Linked DNA regions of Oryzias latipes. The protein of the gene in region 2 interacts with the protein of the main gene of each other region in a pairwise test. Links are inferred from orthologs where the notes say so. Each region holds a gene or a part of one and is shown on either strand. Other genes may lie near its edges. The genes, in order: nod2, vim, ppl and yae1d1.

The links.
Region 1: the proteins of vim (region 2) and nod2 interact in binary tests that used the Homo sapiens proteins (3 or more experiments, as listed by UniProt). The link is inferred for Oryzias latipes from reciprocal best matches to the Homo sapiens genes VIM and NOD2.
Region 3: the proteins of vim (region 2) and ppl interact in binary tests that used the Homo sapiens proteins (3 or more experiments, as listed by UniProt). The link is inferred for Oryzias latipes from reciprocal best matches to the Homo sapiens genes VIM and PPL.
Region 4: the proteins of vim (region 2) and yae1d1 interact in a two-hybrid assay, tested with the Homo sapiens proteins (2 studies listed by BioGRID and IntAct). The link is inferred for Oryzias latipes from reciprocal best matches to the Homo sapiens genes VIM and YAE1.

The regions. Positions count from the first base shown.
Region 1 is NC_019861.2:30,236,407-30,244,160, reverse strand, and holds the start of nod2 (nucleotide-binding oligomerization domain-containing protein 2), read left to right. Parts: upstream 1-3,360; 5' UTR 3,361-3,440; exon of another isoform or gene 3,441-3,640; 5' UTR 3,641-3,718; coding exon 3,719-4,195; intron 4,196-6,528; coding exon 6,529-6,655; intron 6,656-7,754. UniProt on the Homo sapiens protein: Pattern recognition receptor (PRR) that detects bacterial peptidoglycan fragments and other danger signals and plays an important role in gastrointestinal immunity.
Region 2 is NC_019875.2:29,283,795-29,291,250, reverse strand, and holds the end of vim (vimentin), read left to right. Parts: intron 1-1,956; coding exon 1,957-2,052; intron 2,053-2,262; coding exon 2,263-2,430; intron 2,431-3,429; coding exon 3,430-3,555; intron 3,556-3,679; coding exon 3,680-3,900; intron 3,901-4,529; coding exon 4,530-4,573; intron 4,574-4,656; coding exon 4,657-4,742; intron 4,743-4,818; coding exon 4,819-4,860; 3' UTR 4,861-5,187; downstream 5,188-7,456. UniProt on the Homo sapiens protein: Vimentins are class-III intermediate filaments found in various non-epithelial cells, especially mesenchymal cells. Vimentin is attached to the nucleus, endoplasmic reticulum, and mitochondria, either laterally or terminally.
Region 3 is NC_019866.2:25,748,971-25,755,947, forward strand, and holds part of ppl (periplakin), read left to right. Parts: intron 1-510; coding exon 511-606; intron 607-678; coding exon 679-801; intron 802-877; coding exon 878-1,024; intron 1,025-2,184; coding exon 2,185-2,336; intron 2,337-2,500; coding exon 2,501-2,604; intron 2,605-2,697; coding exon 2,698-2,855; intron 2,856-2,936; coding exon 2,937-3,115; intron 3,116-3,210; coding exon 3,211-3,349; intron 3,350-3,428; coding exon 3,429-3,622; intron 3,623-3,700; coding exon 3,701-3,851; intron 3,852-3,940; coding exon 3,941-4,024; intron 4,025-4,105; coding exon 4,106-4,222; intron 4,223-4,424; coding exon 4,425-4,517; intron 4,518-4,603; coding exon 4,604-6,977. UniProt on the Homo sapiens protein: Component of the cornified envelope of keratinocytes. May link the cornified envelope to desmosomes and intermediate filaments. May act as a localization signal in PKB/AKT-mediated signaling.
Region 4 is NC_019878.2:20,807,369-20,815,048, reverse strand, and holds yae1d1 (yae1 domain-containing protein 1), read right to left. Parts: upstream 4,931-7,680; 5' UTR 4,791-4,930; coding exon 4,674-4,790; intron 4,586-4,673; coding exon 4,464-4,585; intron 3,336-4,463; coding exon 2,891-3,335; 3' UTR 2,611-2,890; downstream 1-2,610. UniProt on the Homo sapiens protein: The complex LTO1:YAE1 functions as a target specific adapter that probably recruits apo-ABCE1 to the cytosolic iron-sulfur protein assembly (CIA) complex machinery. May be required for biogenesis of the large ribosomal subunit and initiation of translation.

The DNA.
Region 1 (7,754 bases), on a different chromosome or scaffold from region 2:
AGAAATAGCACCACTGCCAAATACATAAACAAATATAAGCAGTCAAGACAAAGATCATACTAAACAAACTAAGCTATTGCTTACAGTAACAAACAGATGGACCAACATTCACATCAATGTACACACAATAAGATAGAATAGAAACTAAACAAAAATGAAGCTAAGTGTGCAGGATGGATTTTTTTTAAGTGGTAGCAGTATAATTAACACAAATCTTCATTCACATATTTTTTTTTTTTCTTGCTAGTGCCAAAAGTTAAATTTTGATTGATTCACACAGGTGGTTTACCAGAGGTTTTTATGCTAGATACGCTTCCTGGCACAACCCTGCATTTTACCCAGGCTGGGGACCGGCACAGGGAGGCCCAAACTTGGGCCCCCTTGTAGCTTACACAGTTAGGTAGTGGCGGGAAGGGTGTTGCCCAAAGACCCACACTGGATGAAGCTCATCAAGGCCTCTGGGAAACAAACCCTGCTTACAGTCTTACAGGCAGCCAACTGAGCCATCCACCTGCTTGATTACGTTCTTTTTGTGAAACTGAAAGAATAATCATCCATGACAGAGCTAATGACCTAATAAACCAACTGATGTTTTCTGAACTTAGTATTGATGTAATGCATGAGATTATGTATACTAAAAGTACTCACAGCGGAAATATTATTTATTTTTCTAGTTGTGAGCTTTTCTTTTCTTTTATGGTGACAGTTACATTCTATAGGGACAAACCTGAGCACGTAGAATATGACAGACCTAAAAAGAGCTGCCATGTCACATCATCTTTAAATTCCCCTGGAAATCTGTATACGTTTACATCTCTGCATGTCTACAGCTGTTTACAGGGCAGCTGCCTTCACTGTGCCGCTGCATTTGCATCTTTTTCCTAAAGTTGGAATACATTTCCCCATACAGTTTAAGGTGCAGCACGGGACAAGATCACGGAAGAAAAACTCCCCGTTCAGCACAGCATTATGAAGAGTCTCGCCTTTGCTTCACACAGCAAAGAGGACAATCCAGCAAGCAAAATCCAAATCTGCTGTCTGGACTTTTAGAGCCTGACTTCAGACTTCTAGACATAGCAAATGAATAAAACAAGGCTTCAGAAAGTTGCATTGGTTTTTAGTAGATCATTGGAGCTCTTTCTTTTTTGCAACATCAAAGGCAGCCGTGGCTCTTTGATGTGGCAGCATGCTGTTTAAGGTACAGACTGAATGGAGAGATGTCAAGCTGCAAGGTGCCTCAGTAGTTTACGCTGAGTGCTGCAGAGAGCTGCAGATGAAAGGAGCAAACAGAGTTTGATAATGAATGTCCAACAAGTAGGACCCATCTCAGACGATGCGCGCTCAGCGGGGCGCCTGCGCTAACCTTGAGCGCAGCACCCCAAACCTTGGGGAGACACTGGAGACCAGACTTGTTCACATTTGCTGCTTGTGCAAAAAACACAGACTCTTAGATGTGAGCTTTAATCCTCATGTCAATTAGGCCCCCTGATTGACACACCCACCGATACACACTGAGTCACCCACACATGCTTCTCTGAAGCTGTCTGCACTAAAGTAGATGTCATCCACTCCCAGAGCTTAATGCCTCTCTCTACCATCACACACAAACCTCTCCAACCTATGAGTCAGTTTTCTCATGCCTGCCTTTCTAAACTCACCTTTAATGTCTTTATTGAATAAATGGCAGCTAATCTTTTAATTTGGCACGTCTTATTTCATTTCAAGCTTCTTTCTTGGTGACCTTCAGCTCTTGCACTTGCCAGCACAGACGGAGAGCTCATTTTCTTTTAAAGGGTAATTTTTGAAGCTGGAGGTGCCATTAATGGCCCAGAAAAATGGGCTCTTTGAATGTTTTTCATATTCTTTTTCAAAGCAGCGTCTATATAAAGTGCAAAAGCTAAAATCACTTACATTGTTGTTTTCTTCAGCAGGGACACCCCAGAGGTGGTTCACTGAACTGCACAGGGGCCACCTATGTACATTTTGCGCTACGTAAAATACCCAGTTTATGTGTATTTTACGTAGTTTATACGCAATCAATAAGTAAATCTGTGCATGATTTTTACACGATGCACACGCAGATTTGTGGCTTTCCATGTATGTCCAACAGACTTTTCCCACATGTATCACCGATGTATAACTTTTATATTATGTATACGGCACGCATATAACATTAAAATGATCGTTTTCGTTTTTTCCGGAATCCGGTTTTTTAGGAGTTTTTCCTTACCAGGAAGGGGGGTCTAAGGGCAGGGATGCCAGTATAGCTTAGTCAGTTTGTTAGTTCCTTTTAGTATTTTTCCTAATGAACTCTATGTATTCATGATCCTTTTGAGTTCATGCTTCACTTTTTCAATTCCCGATACAAAGCCCATTGAGACGACTGTTGTTGTGAATTTGGGCCATACAAATAAAATTGAATTGAATTGAATAAATTGACGCACGAGTGACTTTATACCTTATTTTTAAAGTCTCTCAAGCTGCTCTGGACTCCTGTCTGTTATTTAGATGACAGTATCCCCCCTTTAGGTTTCACACAGGATGCCTTACAGGTAGTACTCTGCATTACACTCCCCAAGGGGGAGCTGCCTGTTTCTTGGTGAGGAGCTGAAAAGAAGCTATCTTTGATTTCTTCTGCTCATTTATGTTTCCCTTCAGAACAGAGAGGCCTGATAACGAAACAATCACATGGTCAGGACGGAGCAAAAAAAAAAAAAAATTTAAAAAGCATTCATCTTCTTCCGTTAGTTCCCTTTCGGGGTCACAAGGCTGCCAGAGCCTATCCCAGCCACTTGAAAGAAATTGAAAAAGAAATTGAAAAAGCATTGCAAAATATGATTTATGTATCTCATCTTTTGATTTTACTACATTTCTATTCACCTTTTTTCACATACAGTTTGTTTGGGTTCTAAAATAAAAAAGGCACAAAAAAAACTACATAGCTGCAGAAATTCAGAAATATGTCAACCCCAATGTCAACCAGTCACAGGTTTCTCTACAAACCAGCTAGATTTTTTTATTACGCAACAGTTCCATCAAGTGGGCGCAGCATCAAACTGCAACCCTCGTCTCTGAAACCTTTCTCTCTACTTGATCATGTTCCACACAGCACAGCTTTTACATAAAAGAAAGGGAGAAATGAGCATTGTCTTTAAAGTTTTTTTAAAATATAAAGAAACCTTCACATTTCTGCTATAGAAATATGTTTACATGTGATAGAACTAAGCAGAAAATCTATGCTGCAAAATCCGCCCCAACAGGGAAGTACTTCAGACAAACTGTTTTTATTTTTTTTAACCAACATTTACTTTTGATTAAAGTTGTGCAAAACCAGTTTCACTTTCAGTTGTGGAATGAGGAAGAGGACAGACAGAGGCTCACCAACAAATGTTTCAGGACGCCCAAATGAGAGAAGGAGCCCCGATTGCTGACATTTCGTAGTGAGAGATCATATTTTAATAGCAGGTTTTCAAGTATATCTTCAGGTTTTGACAGAATGTGACTCATGTGGATGGACGCCATACAGAGATCACTAAAGAGCTGTGTTTTGTCTACCTATGGCGTCCAATGCAAACTTGTAAAGCGAGAATTGTAAAACTCGTGGATTCTTGCCATGAATGATCACATCTGTGTTTGGCAGGCTGGGGCGTTGCGAGCAGCACAAGTCCAAGATGGAATCTTGGAGCATGGAAGCTGATGCGAAAAAAGCCCGTCTGCCATGGAGCGTTTGCTGAAGCAGCGTACAGAGATTCTGCGTGCTCTCTGCAGTGGTGGGTCAGCTGAACATCTGGAAAGCATTTTGGATATACTGCTGGCTCAGGAAGAGATCACATGGGAGGACTACCAGAACGTACAGGTTACAGGAAGACCACTGAACAGCAATGCCAGAAACCTGCTTGACCTGGTTTACACAAAGGGTGCAGACACCTGTGAGCTCTTCCTCGCTGCTCTCAAACAGATTCTGCCAAAAGAGCAGGGGGCTGGTCTTTGCTTCTTAGAACACTCATCCACTTTGGATGAACTAGAAGTCACTCAGAGGACATGGACGGAGACGGTCCTGAAACGAAGACCTAGTCTGGTCTGGAAACTGCAGGGCTCCGTTCATGATGCGGTGGAAGCTCTTGTGGAGTCTGGACACTTCTCCTCTGCAGATGCTAATGAAGTGCTGCTACCTGTTTACACCCCGTCTCAGCAGGTGAGCATTTTTAGGATAACACAAATGAACAAGACTTGATTGGGTAGGCAGGCTTTAGGTATTTGCATTTTTACAACTGTTTATTAAAATATTACAATAAAGTGTTTAAATATATATTTTTTTGCTTTGGTTTAAAGTTCCTTTATTTTTCAAGAGTTTTTTTTAATTTTAGATTTTATTTATTTATTCGATACAGGGACAGCGCATATTAATAATTATTTCTGTCAATATTCATTCAATTTTTTATCTGGGTAGATGTTAAAATCACCTTACAAGATCAAAATAAAATTACATATTTACATAACATTACATACATATATTAAACCATACATTCAGTAAAATTAGTAGTTAACCTAAAATTAAATTGGCAATAAAACAATCCAAATCGGACAAATGCATAAACATATACACACACACAAGACAAGATAGTAGCGGGTAATCAGTGATAGGAAGTGTACGTAGTGTTGACAGCTCTGATTGTCAATGAGCCATTTCTTTAACTGTGTCTTAAATGATTTATATGTGATTTGATTTCTAATAGTCATGGGGGTGAAGTTCCACTCAGTAGCAGCTCTAACAGCCCACTTAAATAGTAAACCAGCAACCATTAAAGAGAGTTTCAACTGCTTTTAAAATTTGCTACATCAAATCCTGCTAACGTATGGATTAATGAGACCCTGACTTTTTGAAACTGTGTGTATGTTTTATTCTAACGTCATTTAAAAAAAAACACACAAAAGATAAAGATCAAATGGCCATAGCAGTCAAATTGACTGTTTGCTATATTTTTCTGATCTTTTTTCTGCTCCAGTGTCTTTTTGTTTTTTTAATGCTCTGTTTTTTGATGCTCTCTGCTGTGCCAAGTAGAAGAAAAAAACAACTGTAATAAAAGTTACCAGGACTTGGAAAAGGTTTGATAGGATAAATACTCCATGACATAAAAATTAAAATTAATTAAAAGAGAAATTTCATGTCCTTTCTACTTTTATAACATGATTTTTGTTTCATTTTTGTCATGGATATATACACGAATATAAAGAGAAACTAGAATTTTCCCAAAATGTGAACATATTTTTTACTTTTGAGAGAAGCTCATATAGGAGGTCAAATGACTTTCTTTTAAAACAAAGACGCTCTGTGCAGCTAATGTACTTCTTCAAACAACTCAGGGCATAAACAGTGTTTTCACTTTTTATTTTTTAGGTCGACTGTGGTGAGATATCATCTTTTTTTTCTTCCTGCTGCTGTTAACAGGAACATAAACATGACTTTACTGCATTATGATCCAGTAGAAAAAGTTCACAAAGAGTACATAAATATATGTGGGGTTTTTTTAGCAGCTCGCTTCTGTTTAAATACTAACCATTTTTGTGCAGCATGAGACAATATGTGCTTTGAACTGAACTGAGCAATTAAAGAAGGTCAAACTTTTTACCAAAGTTTTGCTTAATACTTGAAATCTGTGTATTCTGAAGGAAGCGTAGAGCGAACAAGGCCTCTTGATGTCAGCAGGGATGTAAAAAACCTTAGTTTGTATGTCTTCTAGGTGCACCTGAGCCATGAATTTATAAACTTAATTGACCAAATTCGGGTACACCGAGTGAGTGACAATGTTCTGACTCTGTTTTGGCTTACTGTGGCTGCCCTGTTTGTGTTTTAAACCCTGACACTCGCCCACAACCTTTCCCAACAACTGGTGTTCCTGGCACCACCCAACAAAAGATCAGCAGCTTAATTCTTTAGCTCGAATGAGATATGCAACTCTCTATCCGTTGCACAATTTTAAAGTACATGCCAAAGACTGTTCTCCTCTTACAGATTAAAAAAAAAACTACCCACTCCTCGACATTTCTTGTACCTAAGATTTTTCTTTAAAGCACTTTTAACCTAAAATGAGTGACTGTCAGTTTTACTCTCGTCATGTTCCTCATTTCTAAGTCACTTTGCATACAAACATCTGCAAAATCACTAAACATAAGCAACACGGTGACAACTGACATTGTTTTGGTGATGGCTGCAGGTAAATGTGAGAGGCTGTTGTTTAGCTGTGAGGGATTTTTTTCGTGTGCGCTGTCATGTCTGCAAACAGGAATCATTCATTCATCCCCGTTCAACCCATTTCAACACTTAAAGTGATTCACATTTATCAGACCTGAAATCTAGTTCTCCTTTATTGAGTAAATTCTCATGTTTTTTGGTTGATTGATCTTGTAACAAAAGCATGTCCACTTATTTACGTTTTTTCCATTTTTTACTTTTTAAGTTCTTAAAAACTTTGATTTGTTCAATGTTCCATACAAATATGTGCATTGATTGTGCTTCCTTGTGTTCAGGCGAGGCGACTTCTGGATCATGTCGGGTCCAAAGGCGAGTCGGCATCAAAAATGCTGCTGCAGTTCAGTCAGCAAAGTGAAGAACCCCAAACCTCCCCGAATCAGGACAAGCTCACCAACACCACAGGTATTTCCTCATCAGGGATGAATCTTCTTCATGATTAATTATTAAAATGTTGCTGAACTAATCCCATTTTTCACGTGCAAATGTGAAAAAAATAAAATAAAATTTAATTTGTTCTTCTGCGTAACCCTGTTATTCTTTTTCTGCCATTCGTGTGAGGAGTAGTTTAATTCTGAGTTAGTTTGCAAGACTTAATAAAGTTAAATCAGCAATAAGATTTTAATGCAAAAAAGAAAAAATGACTAGTTGTAAAAATTTAAATAAAACACTTTTCAGTGCAAAAGTAATAAACAATTCCAGACTTTAAGAATAAAAAAAAGACGTATGTACAAGAAAAGTCCGTATTTACATACAAAGACCTTTAAAAATGAATTCAAATGATAAAACACCAACATTTCTGTAACCCTTGTGCTATCCTAGGCACTTTAACATCGGGAGTTGGGTCATCTAGACCCAATAGACAGTGCTCTGAACCTTTTTTCCTCAATGATTTGTGATCTTCACTGGTGTCACCTTTATCCACCTTTGTCATGGTAGGGAGAACACGTCAATGATTCTGAATGTAAGGGTGGGGTCATCTAAGATAGCACAAGGGTTGAGTGTTCTGTAAAACAGGTCAAAACTTATGAAAGCATATCTCTCCTCCCTGGAACTGCTGACTGGAAATGAATTATGTGACAGTTTTTGAGCGGTGGATGTGAAAACAATCATGTAATCCCCTCTTTGCATTATCGCTTTGATTACCACAGAATGAGCGGTGTTGAAGTAGAAAAAAAGGAAAAAGCATTTTGGAGGATTTATTTCTAATATTATTTTTGAGTCAATTGATGCAGTTACATTGTGAAAATGAAAAAGCATTTCTGTTAATCCGTATTAATTGGCAAATTAGATATATCTAATTGAATCTTGGTACATGTACTAGAAAACTTTTTGAAAGTGAAATGTGAAATACCTCTTTCTTTATCATTTTAATTAAGTGACAGAATGAGCGGTGTTAATGACGAAAAAGAAAAAGCTGTTTGGCGGATTGATTTTTCCTTTTAATATTGAGTCAACGAATGCAGCTTTATTGTGACAATGAAAAAGCATTTTGGGTATTGAC
Region 2 (7,456 bases):
CGTTCCCGGATCATCAGACTCTCACTTGTTTTGGTGTGGCAGTGGGACTGTCCCGCCGTCACAGGGTGTCATGGTGAATCATGTAAATGCAAAAAAAAAAGGCCTCATGTTTCAAGATAAGTGAACATTTTCTGACGACTGTTTAAGAAAATAAATGGCTTGATGTGGAATTTGTGTGAGCGACAGGATGGATGGCACTGAGACAACAATGCGGCGGCCGCAGCTCCTGCTCAGTCAGGCAGACAGTCACTCTCCCAGCCTGGGGCTTGCTGGGAAAACCCTGCTGAATAGCCCACTTTGTTTGTGGCATTAGTGTGGGAGGGGGGTGCTGCTGCTTCATTTGCTGATACGTCAATTACAAGCCTGCCAGCGCCCCGACAAAGCTGCAAAGCTGCACGGTGCCACTGCAAGTGCATGTGAGTTAAGAGAAAAAGAAACTGATTAAAAGAAAAAAAAAGGGAAACTTTTAATAATGGAATTAATTTTCTAGTCTAATGAACCGTGGAGAGTTTTAGTTTGAGAGTGGAGTCAGCTAATAATAAAAAAAAGAGATTAGGAAGCTCTACAGGAATGCTTGGTGGTTTGGGATGCTCTGAACAAAAGGTATTTTAGAAAAGTCCCAGTGAATTGCTCCCTTGTCCCTCCTAAAATAAAGCTATGCAGGCACACAAAGGCCACCTCAGGTTCCTTTCTATTCATTCACACAAATCTGCTGGTTTCCTGTCATAAATTAGGTGCACATCTGGTCAGAATGTGGACAAATAATGAGACACCTATTTTCAGCCGTAGTAACCCTGGAGAACCCAAGGAGTCAAATTTGGCCACTGTTTTTTTTTAGGCTGCCATCTGGACTCTTCCATTAAAAGATCTTTAATAAAGTGCTAATAGTGGTTTTAGTCTATCACCTCAAAGCTCTTCGAACAACACTGGCAACCTACTTGGGAAAAAAATGTCGGTTGTAAGTTTCAGATTTTGAACGGCTGATTATGTTGAACAAAATATTAGCAGTTTTAGCTTAATTAGTGTCTTTGTACAAAGGTAATTTTGGTTGCGAGGAAGCAGGCCGTGTCACACAGCCACTACCTACATATCGCACATTTTCCCTCGTATGACATGTCTGTCTGTTTTGATCCATGCGTGATTTACGTCATTCATTAGTGTTTCTTGCGTTCGTCATTCGTGGATGTGCGCAGATGTCCGTCGAGGGTTTCAGCCAACGGGCCTTTACATGATTTTAGGTTTTGAGCTGCTCAAAATTTTTGGTCGGTATAAAATTACGCAGTTTACGCATATTTAAAGTACAGTATACGCGTAAGACTCACGCAATTGTGTGTGATTTCTGCAAGATGCATTTGCAAATTTGTGACCTTCTACAACCGTTCCACGTTTGTCTGACAGACTTTTCACGCACAATCTCCAGATGCATAATATTTTTATTGTGCACACGGCGCAACTATCACGTATGACCACGTATAGTGGCTGTGTGACACGGCCTTCAGCCCGCGAGGGCAGTTAGAAAGGGGGCCACTAGGGCGGTCGCTGGGGGCCATCCAACACCCAACATCGTGCAAGACTTTAATATCATTTTGTTACCTGTGTCAAACTACCTGAAAAAGCCCAGAAAACAATTTTTCTCGCATTTTCCAGGGTAAAGCAGTTGAGAAGGAATAAATAATTTGTATTTTTGTGTCATATCTTAAAAACAACCAACAGAAGGTGTCAATAAATACATGATGTTAGCAGCACCTGCAAGGACATGTGTGGCCTGCCCACGGCTGCTTTTTCTGTTTTTGGATTCATGTTATGACCTTGGGTGACAACACAACCCACACACACACACTGTTTATAGGTGCTGTGAGTCCTCTTCACAGCATGTGCATCAGAATATGTCAGCAGAATGCATAATTCATGTCACCTTCACAAGTCACCTTATTAAGAGTGAGTGTCATGGCGCAGGACGTGGACAGTGCTGCCCTGGCTCGACTGGACCTGGAGCGGAAGATTGAGTCGCTTCAGGAGGAAATCAACTTCCTGAAGAAGCTGCATGATGAGGTAAGCTTCGGTGTGAGGCCAGGCGGCGTCGGGTTGCTGCAGAAACACTGCGCTTGCACTTGAAAATCTCATAGGGATGCACAAAAAGAAGCCGCATAGATGTTGTTGGTGTTATCAAATTTCCAGGTGGTCTGAAGATGCCTGGAAAAGTGCAGGAATAGGAGTTTGATTAGTGTTTTTTGGAGACTGACGTGAACATGTCTGCTGCAGGAAATGCTGGAGTTTCAGAGTCAGGTGCAGCAGCAGCAACAGCACGTCCAGGTTGACATGGACGTGGCAAAGCCCGACCTGACTGCAGCTCTGAGGGACGTTCGCCTGCAGTATGAGAACCTGGCCACCAAGAACATCCAAGAGTCAGAGGAATGGTACAAATCGAAGGTAAGAACTCAGGGTGAAATTTGAAAGTATAACATGGAGTAAATACAGAAATATGAATAAATAAAAAAACTGCAAGTTCAGACTTCATCATGTTTTTGTCTACTATAGTAAAAGCCTCCTTCTTCACAAATTTTTTTTAAACCAACTGATCATTTCCTGCTCAGTAAATCGTTAAATATAAAATGCTGAATATGCTGAATCAGAATATCTACCGCCCTCGTTGCCCCCTTTAGACCTAGCCTTACTGGCTGAGCATCTACATGCCTCAATCCCCCAATCTTCCCCAGCCACCCCGGTCAAAGCTAAATGTGAAAGAAATTGATGAAAAAAAAACACTTTTTTTCCAAATGTTAACTTTTCTGTTGGTTTTATCTCCATAGCAACCATATAATTCCTTGTTTGCCTGAAGGTGACGAACAGGGCGATGTAATTTTTAGACGAATCAGAGAAAAGTAAATTTTGGGATTTCCTTGGCAACGGAGGTTTTATGTTAACCACGCCTACATTCCTAATATGGTCACATGGTACGGTACATCATTTGAGCCCGGCATTCTTGGATTACACATTTATACAGAATTCTGGTAAAAAATGTGCAAGCAACAGGAGAATGTCACTTCTGTGAACTCGCCACGCCAACGCCGTTCAAAATCCCAATGATACTCGAGGAGTAAGAAGGCGATAGATTGACATCTCTAAAAGGAGTTTAAATTTGTGGCTGGTGGCCAAAGGGGACATTTTCTTTTTAATTCAAGATGGCCGCCTCTTTACGAGGTCAAAACTTTGACTATGGTTCTAGGCCTAACCGTGTGTGAAGATCGCTCCAGCAAAAGTTTTCTTTCCCAACTTTGCCACTAAATGGCCGCCAAGTCGTTGGTCCTGTGCCCATCCCTTAATAATTTCAAAACTTCCCTTGGAAAGAAGAATTGCGGAAAAAAACCCCCGTAGAGTTGACTTTCTGCACCTTCAGCTCCCTGCCCGTCCTCTGTTTGTCGTTTCAAGTTTGCTGACCTCACTGAAGCAGCGGCGAGGAACAACGAAGCTTTGAGGATGGCCAAGCAGGAGGCCAACGACTACAGGCGCCAAGTTCAGGCTCTCACCTGTGAGGTGGACGCCCTCAAAGGAACTGTGAGTGAGCAGTTAAGGAAAACGATACCTTCATCGTCAGCCTTGGGGTGTGTCAATCAATGCAGCTTGAAAACCAGCACCCATCAGCTTTTTTGTATTTGCTTGTTATCTGTTTGCGTCCCAGAATGAGTCTTTGGAGCGTCAGCTGAGGGAGATGGAGGAGAATTTCTCCCTGGAGTCTAACGGATACCAGGACACCATCGGTCGCCTGGAGGAGGACATGCATAACATAAAGGATGAGATGGCCCGTCACCTCCGCGAGTACCAGGACCTCCTAAATGTCAAGATGGCTCTAGATATTGAGATCGCCACCTACAGGAAGCTGCTGGAAGGAGAGGAGAGCAGGTGACGGATCCACGATTTGGTTTGTGTAATGCTACGTTCACATCAGGGTCGGAAATGGGCCTTCACCACTTCCAATGAAAGGTCTATGGACATGCATATGCGCGTTTTGAGCTCTCGGGTTCAAAGCTCTCATGTCCACGCATCGCTACACATGATTTTAAGTCTGTTTCAGGCTGAATGCACATTAAAAGTTAAACAGGTTTGAACAATCAGAGACTCGAATTTGGTAGTCACGTATGGATGGCGTCCTTTTCAAGGCACCAACGTGCCGACCGTTTGAAAGATAAAATGATAATTGCGGTTTGTGCCCGGCTAGAATTCAATGACCCCAAGTCTGATATATCGGAATCGAGCTGTCAAAGAAAAAGTCTGGAGCAAAGACTCACCAGATTTAGACATTTCTACGGTGGCCCAGAAGCCTCTTCCAACTGTAGGTAAATGCACTATTGGATAGCGACAGTCCAGATCAAATTCCATGAAATAAAAGCACATTCAAGAATGCTTGTTTGGTGTGTTTCTTTACATGCCCGGTGTTTGTGTGTGTGGCATAAGCTGCTGTTAGCGCTCTCTTTTTGTAAATGTTTTAACAAAAAGCCTTTTTTCTTGTTTGTAAATTTTTGTCTTTGCAGAATCTCCACTCCTCTGCCAAACTTGTCTTCTCTAAACCTTAGAGGTGATTTATTTATTCAAAAGCCTATTTCCAACCCAAAATATTCAACTTTATTTTAATGATCTTTGACAAATGTTCTTCCTCAGATGCAATAGTTGACTCCAGATCCCAACTTGAAACCACAACAACCAAGAAAGTTCTCATCAAGACCATCGAGACCAGGGACGGTCAGGTAAAGTCACCTTTAAGAGTCTTTTGATCGGTTTGATTGATCTCTCATTTTTAATAATTTAGTTCACCCTTTTCAGGTGATCAATGAGTCGACCCAGAACCATGATGACATGGAGTGATGACGCCTTTTCCAAACAGCTGATGCGAGCAATAAGAAGATCCACGTTTCCCCAATCAATCCAACGACCACCAGGAGCGTGGAAAGTGCCTTTTACATGTGATGATCCAGTAAGCTTGTTAGTTTCCACACTGTGCTTTGCTTTTTTTCTCTGCTGACAGCACTTTGTCACGTTTGTTTAGATGGATTGATGAACAAACTATAAAAATCCTCACTGAGGTCTGCAAAAACATTTATTTGTAACCAAAGTGGTATTTTGATTGAGCATGCACTATGAAGAAGAAGTTCACTATTTCCTGAATGCAGCAATAAACTCTGGAGACTGTAACTCTGAGATGTTTTATTACACTTTATGGACACAACCTTTCATTTGTATTAATTTCCATTAGTTAAAAGGGAAATAAGATTGTCTGGGTTTAGAGGAACACTTTTTGCCGCTCCATCCTCTCATTTGGAAATGGATCATGGGGGCAGCAGTCGGAGCAAAGATGCCCAGATTCCCTCTCCCCGACCGCTTCCTCCCCGGGACCTCCACACAGTGGGACATGCCCGAAACACCTTCCCAGGGGGGGTGTCCAGAAAGCATCGGGACCCGATGCCTGAGCCGCCTCCTGACTGCCCCCTTGACGTGGTGGAACGGTTGAAGAGCTCCTGCTATCCCAGGAGCTGAGCTGCCAGGGGTTCATTCTCATGGTGGGGTGTCCTATGGCAGACAGCTCCTTAGTGATGACCCAGACAAAGAGCGGTTTAGACCCCCCTCTATGAGTAGAAATCAACAAGATTGAGTTTTGTCACCCGGATCGGCGTCACCGGGGCACCACTTTGGAGCTGGGTTTCGCAGGTGATCGCCTGGTGGCGGGGACTCCTCCCAGAGGTCCTGTTTGGATCCAGCTCAAAGTGATGACGTGGGATCACTCCCCCGTGGGCCCTCCTCCTGCTGGAGGGTTTAAAGGTTGGCTATGTGCTTTGGGCTGCAGTCAAAAGCAGGTGCCTCAGCGGCCCAAATTCTGCTCATGGAACTTTGCTTTTCTGTGATTCATAAAGTACAAAATAAAAAGAAAGGGTGGCCCGCAGAGCAGACTTTCCTCTAAATATGATCCTTTTTTCATCTGCTCCTGATTCACAGCAAATTAAATAAAGAAAACCAGAAATACAATTTTAAGCCAAATTTTCTTCATACATGTCCTCCATTATCAGAATAATGCAGAGGAAATATTCAACACACTAAGACAAAATAACAATTTCATCAGAGTTGTTCTTTATACGGTAAATAACTACAACTAAAAATAATAATAAACTTTCTGCATCTGCTCACAAGAAATACGGCATTAAAAATGGTCTGAATTATGAATAAATGAAATGACCCACAGTTTAAATGAACTTAATTAAATGAGTTGGGTTAAACCACAACTAATCCTGGTAAAATTTTATTCATATGTATTTGTTCTCACTTCTAGTCACAAGGTGGGGATGAGAACAGGGACGGGGCAGCAACCCCCAAGCTGGAGGAGTGGCTATACTCCTGGAAAGACCTCAGACCTCTCAGTCCAGAAAAGAGCAGTACCAGGAACAGCTAAGATCCTGCAGGACCCTCAAGCTCCCAGGCCTCTGATAGAGGACCCGAGCTTGGAGGAGAAACCACCCGCGGGGGGTTTATTTTGATTTATTTGACACTTTTTGGGTCCTTTACATTATTGCAGAGCCTCAACCTCACCAGGTCTGATTTGAGGGGATGAAACACACCTGCGTGACTTCATCAAGCAGAGGGGTTTTTTCCTGACACCTGTCGGTGAAATACGGTAACGGATTTTGGAGGACCCTGAACAAGCAAAAACAAAAAAGTTCATCAAAAAGTTTGAATTCAGTAAAAACCCCGCGATTATTCAGATACTAGTTCTCCTTAAGGAAAACAACAATAAAGAGTTACAACTGACTTTAACCCCCCCCCACACACACACACACACATTTTCCATTCTGTCACTGATCCATAAAAACTTCCTAGAAACCTCCGGTGTGAATCAGAATAAAACTCACCGTCATTTTCCCGGGAGAGGCACGTTTGTTGACGGGGCAACTTTCCCCACGTGACGTGTCAGCTGGAGGAAACACGGGGGGAGGGGGTGCTTCCCTAAAACTCCGACATTCCACCTGTTTCCCGGTTTGCAGCTGAACACTTGCCGGTGATGAACGAACTGCGCGTTTTTGATGGCGAGCAGAGCCGCCCGGTTCCAACAGGTACAAAGGAAGACGACAGGTGAGCTCGGAGGGCGCGCGCTAGTTCCTGCCCAGACTTCTTCAGCTCAGGGCTTCCGGGATGGGCTCGGTCACCTCCGCCTTCACCAGAACCCGGAACGCCTTAGTGAAAGTGGGCTCCGAGCCCGACAAGCATGACCCGGAGAGGAGCCAGTCCGCGCCGGAGTCGGACCGAACCAGGAAGAGAGGCGCGTGCTTCAACGCGTCCAGCCAGACCGCGCGGCAAAGCTCGCGCCAGTCGCTGTCCGAGGTCCTGAGCAGACAGGACTCCAACAAGCAAAGTACACGGAAGAAGGTTTCTGACGGTCAGCAGGGCGGTGAGTCCGAAACCCAGACGGTCACAA
Region 3 (6,977 bases), on a different chromosome or scaffold from region 2:
CAGCACGCAGGCTGTTGCTGTGACTGTTGCTGACAAATCCTCTGTTTCACTGAACGTTTTCTTTTGGGGTGAGCTGGCGGCCTGTCTGCAGTGAACAGGGCATTGTGTTCTGCATCCTGATTGGCTGCAGATCATTGTTAATCTTCTCTGCGCTGCGTCTCCCCACAGAATGTGTTTAGTTTGTCAGTTTTACAGCCTTAAAACATCTGGAATCCTTCCTCACAGATTTCATCCATCGCAGGTTATTTTTCGATCATGACCCCACGTTAAACGGTCGACCGCTGCACAGATGGATGGATAACGTTTACATTTAGTCATCCTCCACTGTGAGGACCAACCGGTGGCTTAACAAGCACTTAAAGGACTGATGCGTTTGTTCATCGCCTAGTGGCTACGGCGTGCCGATGGCCCCCTTTACATCGTTATCAGAGCTGTTTTTTATGGCGGTTTGATGTTCGAACCCGGCTGGCCCATGTCTTCCAGACGTGACTGTTTTGTTCTCTGATTTAGGCTCATATGGAAGCAGTTCATGCTGACTGGAAGGAGTACCTAAACCTGCTTATTTGTGAAGAAAACCACCTGAAGCACATGGACGAATACCACCAGGTAAGACATGACATGAAGTGCTTTGACTGCCGTATTTACAGGCAGGTGAGGCTCACCTGTTTCTCTATGCAGTTCAACAAGGAGGCACGTGACACCCAGGACCTACTGAAACGGCTGGAAACCGAGATCAGCCAGAAGTACAACCCCGAATTTAAGGATGTTTATCAGATGGAAGGCCTCATCAGTGAGCTGGACGTAGGTGTTCTGCAGTCCAGACTGCAGCTGACCTGTGCAGAGCTGAAGCTAAGACGTCCTGCTTCTGTGTCTGCAGGATCAAGCTAAGGCAATGGACCATCTGGATGAACGGGTCAAGGCTCTGCAGAAGCGAAGCCTGCAGGTTCTCCCTCTGAGGTACCGCAGGGAAACGCTCCAGAAGCTGCTGCCCATTGAAGCTCTGTGCGAGTATGACACCGACGAGGTACGCGCCACGTTCACTGCAGCTGCTGCTTCAGGGTTTGCTGTTTGGTTTGTGTTGCACTTTCATGACAAGAGAGGCTACACTGCTGCAGATGAGTACTATGGATACTGTTACTTTCAGAAAACGGCTTTATGGGTATTTTCAGCATAAAGCAGGTACAAAGTCTGAGAGGAACTGAAGAACACTTCTCATTATCCACTCTCTATAACAACCCCTGCCCAAAACCAGGAACAAGCCTTACATAATTAGCCAGATTTCTTTCCGTCAGGACATTTGGAAGCAGTTCTGTTGCTGTGACTGGAATGCATCAGTCAGGACGCAGGGGGCGATGCAGCAGCAACTTGCTCCATTTTCTCAACAATTATCTGTTGAAACGTGTGTCTGCTGCGCTGATAAAAAGGAGAAACGTAATATTTGTTGGATTTATGATGATGCTGAAGAAGTGTGAAGAAGAGCAGAGATGTTTCTGGTTCACCAAGGATCTGTAGAGCAGGTTGCAGTGGAAACAGTTTATTTTTCTATGACTATGGAGGTGTGGCTTATTTGGACTGTTTTGTAAAGGACACATTCTTTAATAAAACAGCTTTTGTCACAAATCTCAGTTTGAACGCTGTACTTTAGGCCTTTAGTAGATAGAACGCCGTCAGAGGGTCGCAGACAGCATCTTCCGTGTTCCTAGCCAACAAAGTGAAGGAGCAGCAAAATATTTTGGAACAGAGACATGGATAGTCTGAAGGAAACGTCAGCTTCTGCACCCAGACTGGTTTAAGGGGGGGGGGGGGGGGGGGGCTTCCAAAAACCGGGACGAATGCTGCTCATTCACACACAAATCGTTGACGGTTCTAATGGAGCCGGCTCAAACGATGCCGGTGGCTCCAAGATCCATGCTATTAAGGTCTTTGGCTAAATCTAGTTTATCATGACAAATACAGGTAAACATAGTGATTCACCCCACAGAACAAAAACCAAAATGAGCCTGTTATCTTCTCAATGGTTCCCTTTTTTGTCTGGGTTAGAGGAGAGCAGGTTTCATCACTTTTACCTGAAAGGAGGCAGCATCCTTTTTATTCCTTAGGAGAACTTCTGTGTTCTTCTGCACTCTTGAGTCTTGAGGAGAAGATGTCATCTGCAGCCAAAATGACCACATTGAATTTGTTCAGGGCCAGATCCAGCGTGGGGAGAGGTACACTCTTCTGAGGAACAACGGCACACGGTGGGACGTGAAGGATGCAGCTGGACGTAAACTGACCGCCCCTGCAGTCTGCTTTTTGATCCCTCCCACCGACCCGGAGGCTGTGGCTGTGTCTGACAAGTAGGTCACCTTTCCTCACCCTAATGATCTAAAGCATTAAACAGGAGGAACACAGCTGAGGAGCCCACAGGAAGATCAGCCCACACCTGTAAATGCTGCTCTCCAAAGAGTAGAAACTGTTTTAAAAAGCTTAAAGAGCTTAATCTCAGCGTTTGTGCTCACAGACTGGTCAGCCAGCAGAAGGCTGTCAAGCAGAAAACAGCCAGCTGCAAAGCGTCTCTGCAGAAGCGCTTTAATGAGCTGCAGAAGGAGATTGGAGCTGGGACAGGTAAAGCACAGACTGACTGTTGCAGTAAACATCACAAAGCATCTCCGTCCTCAGCGGGCTCAGACCTCAGCTTTGTTTCTACTCTGACTGTAGACAAGGAGGAGCAGCAGTGCCGCCAGCTGATGGCCGGTTTGGATAAAGTCGTCACCGACTTAGACAAACAGGAAAAAGCTATTTATGCACGAGTGCGCCCACCGCTGGAACAAAGCCGGCCACTGCAAGACGGCGCTGACCGCCTGCAGGACATGAAGGTAAGGGTCCTCATTGATCCTGCTGGTAGACACTTCCAGCTTTAACAGACTCATTCACGCTCTTCCAATGCTTTCCTGCAGGACATCTCTGCAGCTGTTGACAAGATTAAACCAGAAAAGTCCTCCAAGGTGGAAGAGGCCAGACGCTTCCTGGTCTCTAATTCCAAGTGTGCCAGTGCCCCTCAGCTCCACAGCAAGGCGGATGAGACGGAGAAGAAGTGTGCCAAGGTGGAGCAGCTTCTACAGTGCTCCCAGGAGAAGTATGGCATGTTTTTGGCTTTTCAAGTCCCAACTCAGACAGTCTCTGCCCAAGGTTTGCTTCACTGCATTCATCTAAAACGTGACATTTCTTTAGGCTAAAAAATTCCCACCAGCTGGAGATGTCTATTCAAAATGGAAAAGCTTTAATATCCACATATGAGAACAAACTGGCCAGGGAGGAAGTTGCCCCACGGGACATGTCCTCATTGGAAAAAACTCAGCGAGAACTTGCTGTAAGTTCCATTCGTGGATGTTCAGCTGGCATCACAGCGAGCCACAGATTTTCATCACATTCTCATGCTGCTCCTCCAGAGTATGGCTTCAGATCTGAGGTCCAAGAGCTCAGTGATGGCGGAGTTGGAAGAAAACCTGCGTTCAGCCAGAAACAGTTGCAACAACATGACCTCCAGGTTTCATGAGCACTGTCCAGACATTGAACGACAGGAAGCGGATGTGCAGAAACTCAACAAGCGTTTCAACAACCTCAACAGGCAGATCGATGCCAGGTGAGTCAGTGAGAAAGAGGAACTGCAGCTATCCAGGCCTACAGTCTCCACAGCCGATTTCTCTGCTGCCCCCCACAGGTCCCAGAGCTTGCAGAGAGCCAAAATGGCATACAACAACTACCAGAACGACTACGACAACTTGAACAGCTGGCTGTCTCGTGTCCCAAACTATGAGCCCAGAGAAACTGATGATCTCAGACAGGTGGAGACTAAGCTGAAGAACCAGAGGGTGAGATCACCACCTTTACACGAGCTGTGCTGTGGAAGAATACAGTCACTGAAACATGTGTTGACTCCAGCAAAACTCCTTTTCTGCAGAACTTGCTCTCTGACATCACAAGGAAGGAGTCAGACTTGAACAACGTCTCCAAAAATGCCAAGCTGTACCAACAGGCTGTGAAGGTACAGATATCCCTCTGACTCCCTAAACTAAACTAAACTGAAGTGAGGTGGAGGTCAAATGTTTACAAGTTTTGTCTGCAGGACTATGAGGCTGAAACAGAGAAGTTCAAGTCAGTCTTGGATCTTGAGGATGGTCTTGTACCTCAGAGCTACAAGAGAAGCAGACTGGAATCACCTGCAGTGAAAGTCAAAGAAGATGTGAGGCGCTGCCGTCAATGACACTGCTCTCTCTCTTTCATCTGATTCAGCCTTCGTGATTGGCTGTCAGACACCACCACCTAATCCAGACGTTTCCTTTAATTCTGCGTCTGTGCTTTTTCTCAGTGAAAGCAGAAAGGGAACCGCTGTGATGGCTGTCAATCATTGTTGAAACAAAGATGTCTTCTTCTAACACTTTCAGGAAGCTGAAATTGAGTCCAAGTTCACAGAAGTGAACGCCGTAAACAAGCAGAGGCTCCAGAATCTTGAATTTGCACAAAGCCTTTTAAAACAGGTAACATTATTTACCACGTTTGTAGCATCTGCACGCAAACCAAACAAATCTATGCCGATGATATAATATTCTCACTCTTCATTCAGCAACCCGAGGTCCCTATGATCCAGTCTACAAATGTGCAGTCTGTCCATGCCGCTCCTCCAGGGGAGGAGCCTTGGAGAATCAGGAAGCAGCTGGAAGATGAGACTCAGAGGAGAGAACAACTTGAGAAGGAAATCAAGAGCATCCAGACCAACATTTATGAACTGGAAGGACAAAAGCCCCAGGACACCATCGTGAAGAAGGAACTAATCAAAAATGTTCCAGACCCACAGCTGGAGGAAGAGGTTCATAAGGTCCAGCAGAAGCTGTCAGAGGAGCGCCGCAACACCCATGTCCTGGAAAACGACTTGGAGGTGCTGAGGCTTAAGTTGCGTGGCCTGGAGACCGAGCTCAAAGAGGGGGCGCAGCAGTACACTGTAAAGGAGGTGCTACGTATCGAGAGGGACAGGGGGCAGGAAGAGGAGGTCCGCAAACTTCGCGATGAGCTGGAAGAGCTTAGAAGGCAGAAGATGATGAAAGACAATGAGCTGACTCAGATAAAAAAGCAAGTGACCCTCCTGGCTGAGGAGAAAAACAAAGAACAGGAGGTGATCACCGAGGAGCAAGTGATCAAAGTTCAGAATGACCCCCAGCTTCAGTCTGAGTACCGGCTCCTGCTTGAAAGGAAGCAAAAAGAGACGGATAGTAGAAAAGAGCTGGAAGACGAACTGAAGTTTCTCCAGGAGAAGCTCCGAAGGCTGGAGAAGGAGAAGGCCATGGCAGAGGAGAAGATTTCCATCAAGGAGGTGCTTAAAGTAGAGAAAGATATGGCTCTGGAAAGGGAGGTAGAAAACCTCCGGAGACAGTATGAGGATGAGAAGTCCAAACGCAGATCCTCTCAGCGGGAAAAGTCTGACCTCCAGAGAAAAATTACAAGCCTGGAGGAGGAGAAGAACAGGGTTGTGGTCCAGGAAAAAGTTAGGGAGATTGTCCGTCCCGATCCAAAGGCGGAGAGTGAGGTCGCCAATCTCCGTCTTGAGCTTGTAGAACAACAGAGGCGCTTCAAGGATGCAGAACTTCAGTTGAAGTCTCTGCAGGATGAACTGACCATGCTGAGGAACCGAGGACCTCAGGTGGAGGTCAAAGAGATGATCAAAGAAGTCATCAAGTACAAAACAGACCCACAGACCGAGAAAGAGCTGGAAGGTCTTCGTGAAGAGATCGTTGATAAAACACACCAAATTGAGAAATCAGAGATGGAAATCCGCCAACTTCGTGACGAAATTCAACGATGGAAGGAGACAAAGCCTCAGGTCCAAACTAAAGAGGTGGTCAATGAAGTGCTGCAGTACAGAGAGGATCCCAAGACCATGGAAGAGATTGAGATTCTAAAAAGAAAGCTGGCTGATGAGCAAAAGAAACGCCTTGATCTGGAGAGAGAAAAGTCTGCCCAGGAGGAAAAGATCAGGCTAAAGAAGTTGGATCTGTCTCAGGTCAGAGAGAAGATTGTTGAGGAAATAGTGGTCGAGATGGTAGAAGATCCTATCCTCAAATCAGAATGTGAGAACTACGTCCAGACCATCAACAAGGAGCAAGAACTGAAGGAGAGCTTAAAAGCAGAACTCTCAAGGCTGCAACGACAGATCGCTGACTTAGACCTACAGTTGGAAGAACTGGAGCGGGAGCGAAAGGCAAGACGTGAGGCGGAACTGGAGATTCAGAGGCTTCGGATCAGGCTGAATGAGCTGGAAATCCGGGACAAAGAAAATCGCGAGAAGGTGACAGTCAAGCAAAAAGTGGTGCTGCAGCAGGATCCCCAGCAGGAGAAGGAACACTCTATCCTGAAGCTCCAGCTCGATGAAGAGCGGCACAAGCGTACCTTGCTGGAGAAGAGGCTGGACGCCCTCAAGCAGCAGCAGCTAACCTTGGAAAGAATGGACGTGAAGGAAAGAGTCGTCCGCACTGAGAAGGTCCAAGTTGAAAGGGACCCAGAAGCCGAGATGGAGATTGATGACCTCCGGAGAACTTTAGACGAAGAAAAAAGGAGAAGGCGTGACCTTGATCAAGAGCTCGCCAGCCTTACTTCCAGGCTCTCAGATATGGAGTTTCATCAAACTAAGTCTACCAAAGAACTGGACTACATCAGAGACGAGAGCAACCGTCTGCAGCAGGAAAACCAGAGGCTGCAGAATGAGATCCGCAGACTTCGGTCCGAGATTGACATTACTAGCAACGAGACAAAGCTTATCACCGAGTCTGCACCAAGGGATGACGGGAAGAACTTGGAGATGAGACTTGATGCTTTGCAGAAAGAGCTTGCAGAGCTCAAACGCATAACAGTCCAGAAGGATGAAGAGATTGAAAAGCTGCAGAAGAATCTTGGGTCAGTTAGTATCAAGAGGGAACAAAGAGAGAGCCACCTTCGGCGCTCTATCG
Region 4 (7,680 bases), on a different chromosome or scaffold from region 2:
TAAAGGGACAGGACTTTTCCAAAATACAGCTGAAGGTGCAGCTGAATCGCGTAATTCTTATCAAAATGTCTTTAATAAAATAAAATAAATGCAAAGAAAAAGTATTTTATGATCTTTCATATTCCTAACTCCTCAGTGTTTTATCAGGGCCTGTTTGGATGAACAAAGAGCTGAAATCCTGGAGATGGGAAATGTTTTTTGATCAGTTAATGAGGACAATCTCCCACGGCACACTAGTGTGCCACGGCACACTGGTTGAAAAACACTGTTCTAACTTAACTTTTATTACATTTATTAGAAAAAACAGCTGCACCTTCCAGCTTTTTCTGCCACAATTATCACAAAAATGCATGTGAGATTGTGGACGTACTGTAGATCAATACAGACTATGAGTTTCTCCTTTTTTTTAATTTTTGGATGCTGGTGTGCCGCGGGATTTTTTGTCAAGGTTAAAGTGTGCCGTGGCTCAAAAAAGGTTGAAAAACACTGTTCTAGGACATAGTTTCTGCAGAGCGGCAGGAGTTCATCAGAGATTCACCTCTGAGTTGTGGGCGTGGGACAACCCCGCTACCCCTCCCTGTTGCTGAGAGCTCTCTGTTTACATGCTCTGCTGCTAGCCCCTCACAACGTTAACCTAGCATTGACGGTAAAACAAAAATGGCGAGGAATGTCGGAGCTTTCCAGCCGTACAGGTTTGAGCCAGATTCCAGCTCAGATGAGGAAAACAAAAGACGTCCGTGGATCTATTTGTGGAATGGGGCGGGGCAGGAAGCTTGTGGCCGGCGCCAGCGTATTTTCTATGTGACTCATACGATCTTTTTCGTCTGATGCACAACGATTGAAACAAACTCAGAACTGCAAATTTAAGCTTCGTTATCTCCTCCATCAGAAAAATGCTACAAGAACATGTTAAAAAAACATGATTCTCATCCGAGTGGGTCTTTAAATACAATATTCTATTTTCTTCTTCAGCAGATCAGAATGCTTCATGAAACTTGCTTCACGTTGACAGAAATAATCAACCCGTCCTCTCGCAAATTTTAAAAGATGGTTGGGTATGAAGTCAACGCCCGTTGTAGCCATTTTTGACGTTTATGAGGCCTTGACCTTTGACCTCTCCCAAAATTCATCGCACACTAGCATATTTGTGAATCTGAAGCTGGGAAAAACGACTTCAACTACTAACAAACAAAAAAATGTGCAGCACAGATCCATGAAACTGAAGTGTACTGGCCTTATTTGACAAAGTTGTTCAAAGCATGGCATCCACACTTTAAATATCCACACATTCAAAACACGCGTGGCTAGAGAGCCTTAAGTGGACACAGAGATCAATCACATTCATTCAACTTCTGCTGAGTATAAATCTCACTTTGGACCAAACTATTGACAATTGAAAAAAAGAAAAAAGCACCAAAAAACTGGATTTGGGGCTGAACTGTTGGACAGATTCATCATATGACTATAGAGGAGACAATAAATTTCAATTGTGTTCAAAATAAATGACTTGAGATGGACTAATGTTAAATGTGTTATGTTTGAAAACAGCTTTAATAGTTTTATGCAGTGAGACTTTAGGAGATTCGAATAATCAAGGAAACAGGAGTTACCTAGTTACCTAATCCTATTTAAATGTTTAACTTCAAATTAAAACGTTTAAGTAAAATCAATGTTAACTGTCCGCTTTAATCTCAACATATTGGTTTTATTTTACAAAAAGAGGGCAAGTAGATAAAAAAAATGCAGTAATAACTTAACTTAAGTGAATCCTAATATTATGTTATGAATGAAATGCAAGGAAGTATTTTACATTTTAAGGGCAGCAAATTTTAAAAACATAAAACTGTATTGTTAAAAAATGAACGTACCTTTATTCAATTTAAAGTCAAACTCTCAAAAGTTGAACCCTCGAAGCTCCTCTTGTTTCACTTTTGTGGAGCAGGTTAGCCTCTTAGCCTGGCAGCTAGCTGCAGCAAACTTAACGCACAAACGTGCGTTTCTCCGGAGCGACTGCCGTGCGGGGAACTCGATGCCGCCGCATGTAGTGCGTTCCAGCAACACCTCAATGTGGACTCCCGCAGCACAACGGCGCACAGAACGCGAAATTTCAACGAGCTTCCCGCGAAACATCTGTACGCGGACCCTTTAGCTTAGCAGGAGCAGCAGGTCACGGTTCGGTCCGAGGGTGACGTCATACTGATGTGCGACTGAACTTGTGCCACGTTCAGGTGCGCCTCGTAAAAGAGCTGCCAAGTAAATCACAATACGATGTTTCGCGTTCAAAATCAAAACTATAAACTATACTCGTATATGCTTGATTTAATCTGTACATATCTAATTTAGCCTTACATTGTGGGGAATATTTTTTGTATACATTCATTTGTAAAATCGTTTATATATATATATATATATATATATATATATATATACTTAAAAACTTTGCTAAAACCTTTTTGAAGCTCTACAGTTGTATAAAAAATATTTTATCAATAACTTAGTTCCCGTTATATGCTCTAAAATAAGTTACAAATTTTCTCGATAGAAAACCTACTCTTTAAATTAGCAGTTGGTTTGCATTTATAAAAAAAAAGCTAAAAATAAATATGTAAATATGTAAATTACATATTTATTTTTAAGAAAAGGTGAAAATAAAAACTTTCCCCATTTTTAGAACAATAGGTTACAACCAAACCTCGTGTCGCAATTTCAGCATTAGAACTTAAATACCCCGCTGTTTTTACACACCTTCTGTTTTGGATCAAAACAGATATTTATGATCAAAAACATTATTTACAAACCATAAAATGAAAAAGTAATCTTTCATAAATTATACACATTTCTGTTTGTGAAAGAAAAATGTTCCAGCAAGACTTTTAGTCTGTAAATAGATTTAAAACATGCTGCTCATGCGGTCGATGTTCCCGAGCTCGTGGATGTGATCCATCAGCTCCTGCGGCAGTCCCAGCTCTGATGCTAAATCCATACAGCACTGCAGGAGCAGGTGTAGACCTTCACCTGGGCTGGAGGAACAGCTGGTGGACCCAGAGCGGATCTTTTGGTTTTGGTGAGGGTTGTCCACATCCATATTTTCATCTCTCTTGTTACAACACGGTCCACTTCCTCCATCTCTGCAGAGGGAGGGATCCTCCTGCTCCACATCGAGAGCGTCCATGCTTTCCGAAACGTCACTCACACTCGGAGGGGGATTTTCCAAAGCCTTCCTGATGTCCTCCATGATCTGGGTTTCGTGTTCTGTAACCCGCTGCAGGAGGTCGGTCACAGGGGTGGGAACTGGTCTTTCTGGATGCTGGATCTGGCACCAGCACCAGACCGCCCTGTGGCGGGGAGACACAGAGGGAGCCGTGATGCACATAGAAAAGACTGGAGCGGCCGTCTGACGGACAGAAAAGCGCATTCAATAAACCATCACAACAAAGGAAGTCAGGATGTTTCTGCACAAAAACCCTGTGAGGGATTCTTTAGTCAAAGAGGAACAAAAGTGAAGTGATGATGACGTCAAAACACTTAAATGACCTTCATCGGACAGTGAAGGTCAGAGCTTCCCTACTTCCTTTACAACTAGTCAGGATAAAATGATTGACTTTACTTTAAAATATCAAGTTATAAATCATTAAATCATTCATAATTCACCCCTAAACAATCAGGAAACAGATTACAACTATGCTAAATGTCACAAACACATCATTTTTTACACTTTTTTTTAACCAAGAAAAAGCTAAACTGAGTGTAGTAAAATCTTGAAATTAGTGTATTTTAAACATGTATAAAGATTAGCAGTAAAACGTTATTTTTTTCAGTTAAATCTCCCCAAGTAACGCTTTAGAAACAGCAGTGCTAGCCACACTTTTTAAATTGTGATTATTATTGGAACTAAGACTTGTTGACCTTTTTTAATCCAATTATTTATTATTAAAAATTACTCATTAGCCGAGAAGAGTGTAAAGATTAAATCCCACTACACCTATAACATTTGAAAATTTCTGAAACTGAAAAGACAATCTGTTTTTTAACGTTTGTAAAGCAGATTTGATTAAAAAACATTAAATAGAAAATAGGGCAAACCAGCTTTTTTTTAATCTATAGCAGAATGTCTATTAGGTTTAGGACAAACAGAGCACAATATGGATCCATATTTCCTATTTTAAATCAGTGTTTCAAATAAAATGAAGGAAAAACTGTTTTGAAATTTCAAAATATAAGTGAAAAGAGCAGAATTTATAGTTTTTCTTTGGTCAGACTGCATCATTTACGCTATAAATCAGCTACTTTTACTCAGTACTTGAGTTGCTGTTTTTAACCTAATTTTCAAATTTACTTAAGTGGAAACTGGAATTACTACTTGTTACTTCTACTCTGTTAGTACTTGGGAGCAAGGCTACTCTTACTTGAGTGGGAATTGAGCATAATCTATAGCTTTCAGTGACATGTCAGGTGAATTTTACCCCAGAATTCCTCGCAGTCGACCCACAGCTACAGTCTGGGCTGCTCCTTCCTTGAACCCCAAGTTAAACCCGACCTGAAGAGAGGCTTCCTCCCCGGCATCAACTCCATCCACATATCCGTCCTGTTCGGAAGAAAAGAAGTCAATAAAGTAATAATAAATAAATAAATAAACGCCAATAATATGCTAACTTTTTTTTTTTTTTTTTTACCATGACGCGTTTCTTCATGTTGGAGGTCCACTCTTTGCTCTGTAAATGAAGCTCGTCTGCGTTTTCGTCGAACACATCTTCACTATTAAGCGACGCGGATTTCACCCAAGACATCATGAGCGAAAACGGACGGCAGGTTTCTGCGACAAACGTTTACTTTTGAGTGGAACTGGACTGAAAACGAGCAACGCTTACAGACATTTTAGCCGCCTCTGCGCCTGCTGCTAGCTAACGCGGTGACATCATCAACCTGCGACGTAGCCTCAAAAATGTTAAATATTAAGAGGAACATTAAAAAGAAAATATTCTTATTGAAATGTTATATTATATTCAATCAAAGTTTGTAAAAATATTATTTTTATTTAAACATGTAATTTAAGAAAAAAATGTATTTTACAACAATGCTGGTGTTCATATTGACGTTTAATCTAATTTAATTTGAATTTCTACTTAATGTTTATTTGCTTATTTGATTTGTCGTTTTCTTGCATATTCCAAAGAATGACAAAAAACATTGATGACAACAGAAAAAAAAGGAAAAAGATGGTTTAAATTCAGACTGCATATGTGCTCTACACATGTTAATTATTATAGATAAAATATTGTCATTTTTTATTGGGAGAAGAGATTTAATTACATTTTGAACAATTTTTGTTCAATATTTTTTGTTAATTTTTATTAATAATATAATCTCTGTAGACAAGCCTGGATTAATTTGTTTAAATGTTGCACACATAACTCCACACTTAGCTAAAACTACTAATTGTAGTATTAATTAGTCTATGCTGCAATTAAGGCCGTATACTTGAAGTTTAATTTTTATACATCATCTATAAATTGTAAACTTAAAATGTCCCAATTAAGTCTGAAAAAGTATTTAGCACATGTACATAGACTATAGTATATTTGCTGTATGTATGCTTATACTTATGTATACCCAATAAAATATGCACTGTTGTAACTATGTAGTTTGTCCTCTTTTGGTGAATAGCAGGTCTGTTCAAAGGCCTGTTTAAGTTAGATTAGTCCTGTCTTGGTGCAATCAGTGACGCCTCCAGAAAATTTTCATGGGGATGGCCGGTAGGGGACAACTTTAATCTTACTTTAATCTTAGGGTGGCACACAAAAAAATGAGCAATATTTTTAAAATTCATTCTACTAAACGTAGTAAAACAACCTTTAGAAAACTAACATATGTTAAATCACCACTGATACTACTACTGTTATTTTATACAACATTAACTTATAGTAGATACCACTATGCAGTAGATACTAGTAGATATCATTAGTAGACACACATTCATCTTCTGCCATTTTGTTCCTTTCTGGGTCACGGGCTGCCGGACCCTATCCCGGCCACTTGTGGGCGAAGGCTGGGGACACCCTGGACAGTTCGCCAGTCTGTGGCAGATTAGTAGATCCTACAACTGATAATTTGATTAATTGTGTTTATATTTAATGCTTAGGTGTGTCTGCTTGGTGTGTTCGGCTCTTGACTGTTACATATCTATAATGAACAAAAAGTGAAACCAGTTGTTCTGAAATAAAAATAAAAATACCTATTGACATTTCTATTGAGATTAATTACACATGAAACAGTTTTATTATTAGGGCAACATATTTCTAACATCACCTGTTGGTCCAGGAACAGGTCAAGCCCTTTTTGCTGAGTTCTACCTTGTTTCTCTGACCAATGATGCTGACTTGTCCTCGTCTGATGCCGTCTCATCTTTGTCTTCCTCCTCTTCAGTCATTAATATTGGCTGTGGATCATGCTCTGTACTTTTCTTCTTAAAATAAGAATATACGTTGACTTTCTCTTCGTTCTCTGAAAATTGACATACACAAGCCTGAGCTAATGACTATAGGCAACTCTGTGGAAATAGGACAAAAACACATCAAAATTTTGCGGTAACACAACACATCACACTCTGAAAAGAGTATTTGGGCTGTAGTTGGAAAGTTAAACTTTTTTACATTGATCTAACTTAATTATCTAGTTTGGTGAAAATATTTTTTTTTAGTTCAATCAACTTAAAAATAACCCCGTAGTTGTCGGACATAGTTATTTTACTTTCAATCAACTTAATTCAATTAAGTTGGTGTAACTTTGGTGTGAAGCTGTCAATGTGTCATGACGTCATATCTTGAGGCAGAGCAAGCATGGCCGGCCCTCCCTATACGCGAATTACGCAGCCGCGTAGGGCCCCCGTCACCAGCAGGGCCCCGAAGTGGCGACAAAAATTAAATTAAAAAAGACCCAAATCTGGCAACCCATTTCATAGAACTTCCTTACCAAAGTGTGCTCTGAATGTTGTGCAAAAGAAAGTTGCCTGCACTTTAATGATCCCCCCTGTCAGCACACATGAACCAATTTGGCAACCCAAATAATGACGTTACACCATTTAGCAACGATTGGTCAACATAATTGCATCTGAGTCTGGCACAGTGTGCATTTACGAGCGCATTTTGTTTCAATAAAGTTGGGGAAAAGAAAAAAAACAGCACATTTTGTCACGCTGATCAAAGCGACAACAAGAAAACGTCATGCCTCAGAGACTTTATCCACCACCAGGAGCTAAAAAAAGATAAAGAACTTCAACATCAATCACAAGGTAAGTTTGGAGGATGTTGGGGCTTTATTTTTACATTATCCAGCATTTCTGTGCAGCTGCGCAATTTACGTAAAATACGAAGCGATCTGAGGTGAAGTTTGCACATAAACGACCCCCTTTGTCGTAATTTCCCATGGAAAACTCGAAAATAATTTTGATACCCAAGTTTCCAAGATGAGGTTGGACATGACCTTCTAAAACGGCGGAAAGTAAAGAAAAGTAAATAATGACAACTATATGGTGGCTGAAAAATGTTTTAACTCACGTTATCGTTTTGTTTCATTGTTTTGCTAACACATATTTAGTGCGTTCTGCATTCTCCGGTTTATTACAGCATAAAAACTGCTGTTTATCTGTTATAGACAGGTAGTCAGGTAGTCTGAGTTTTACAA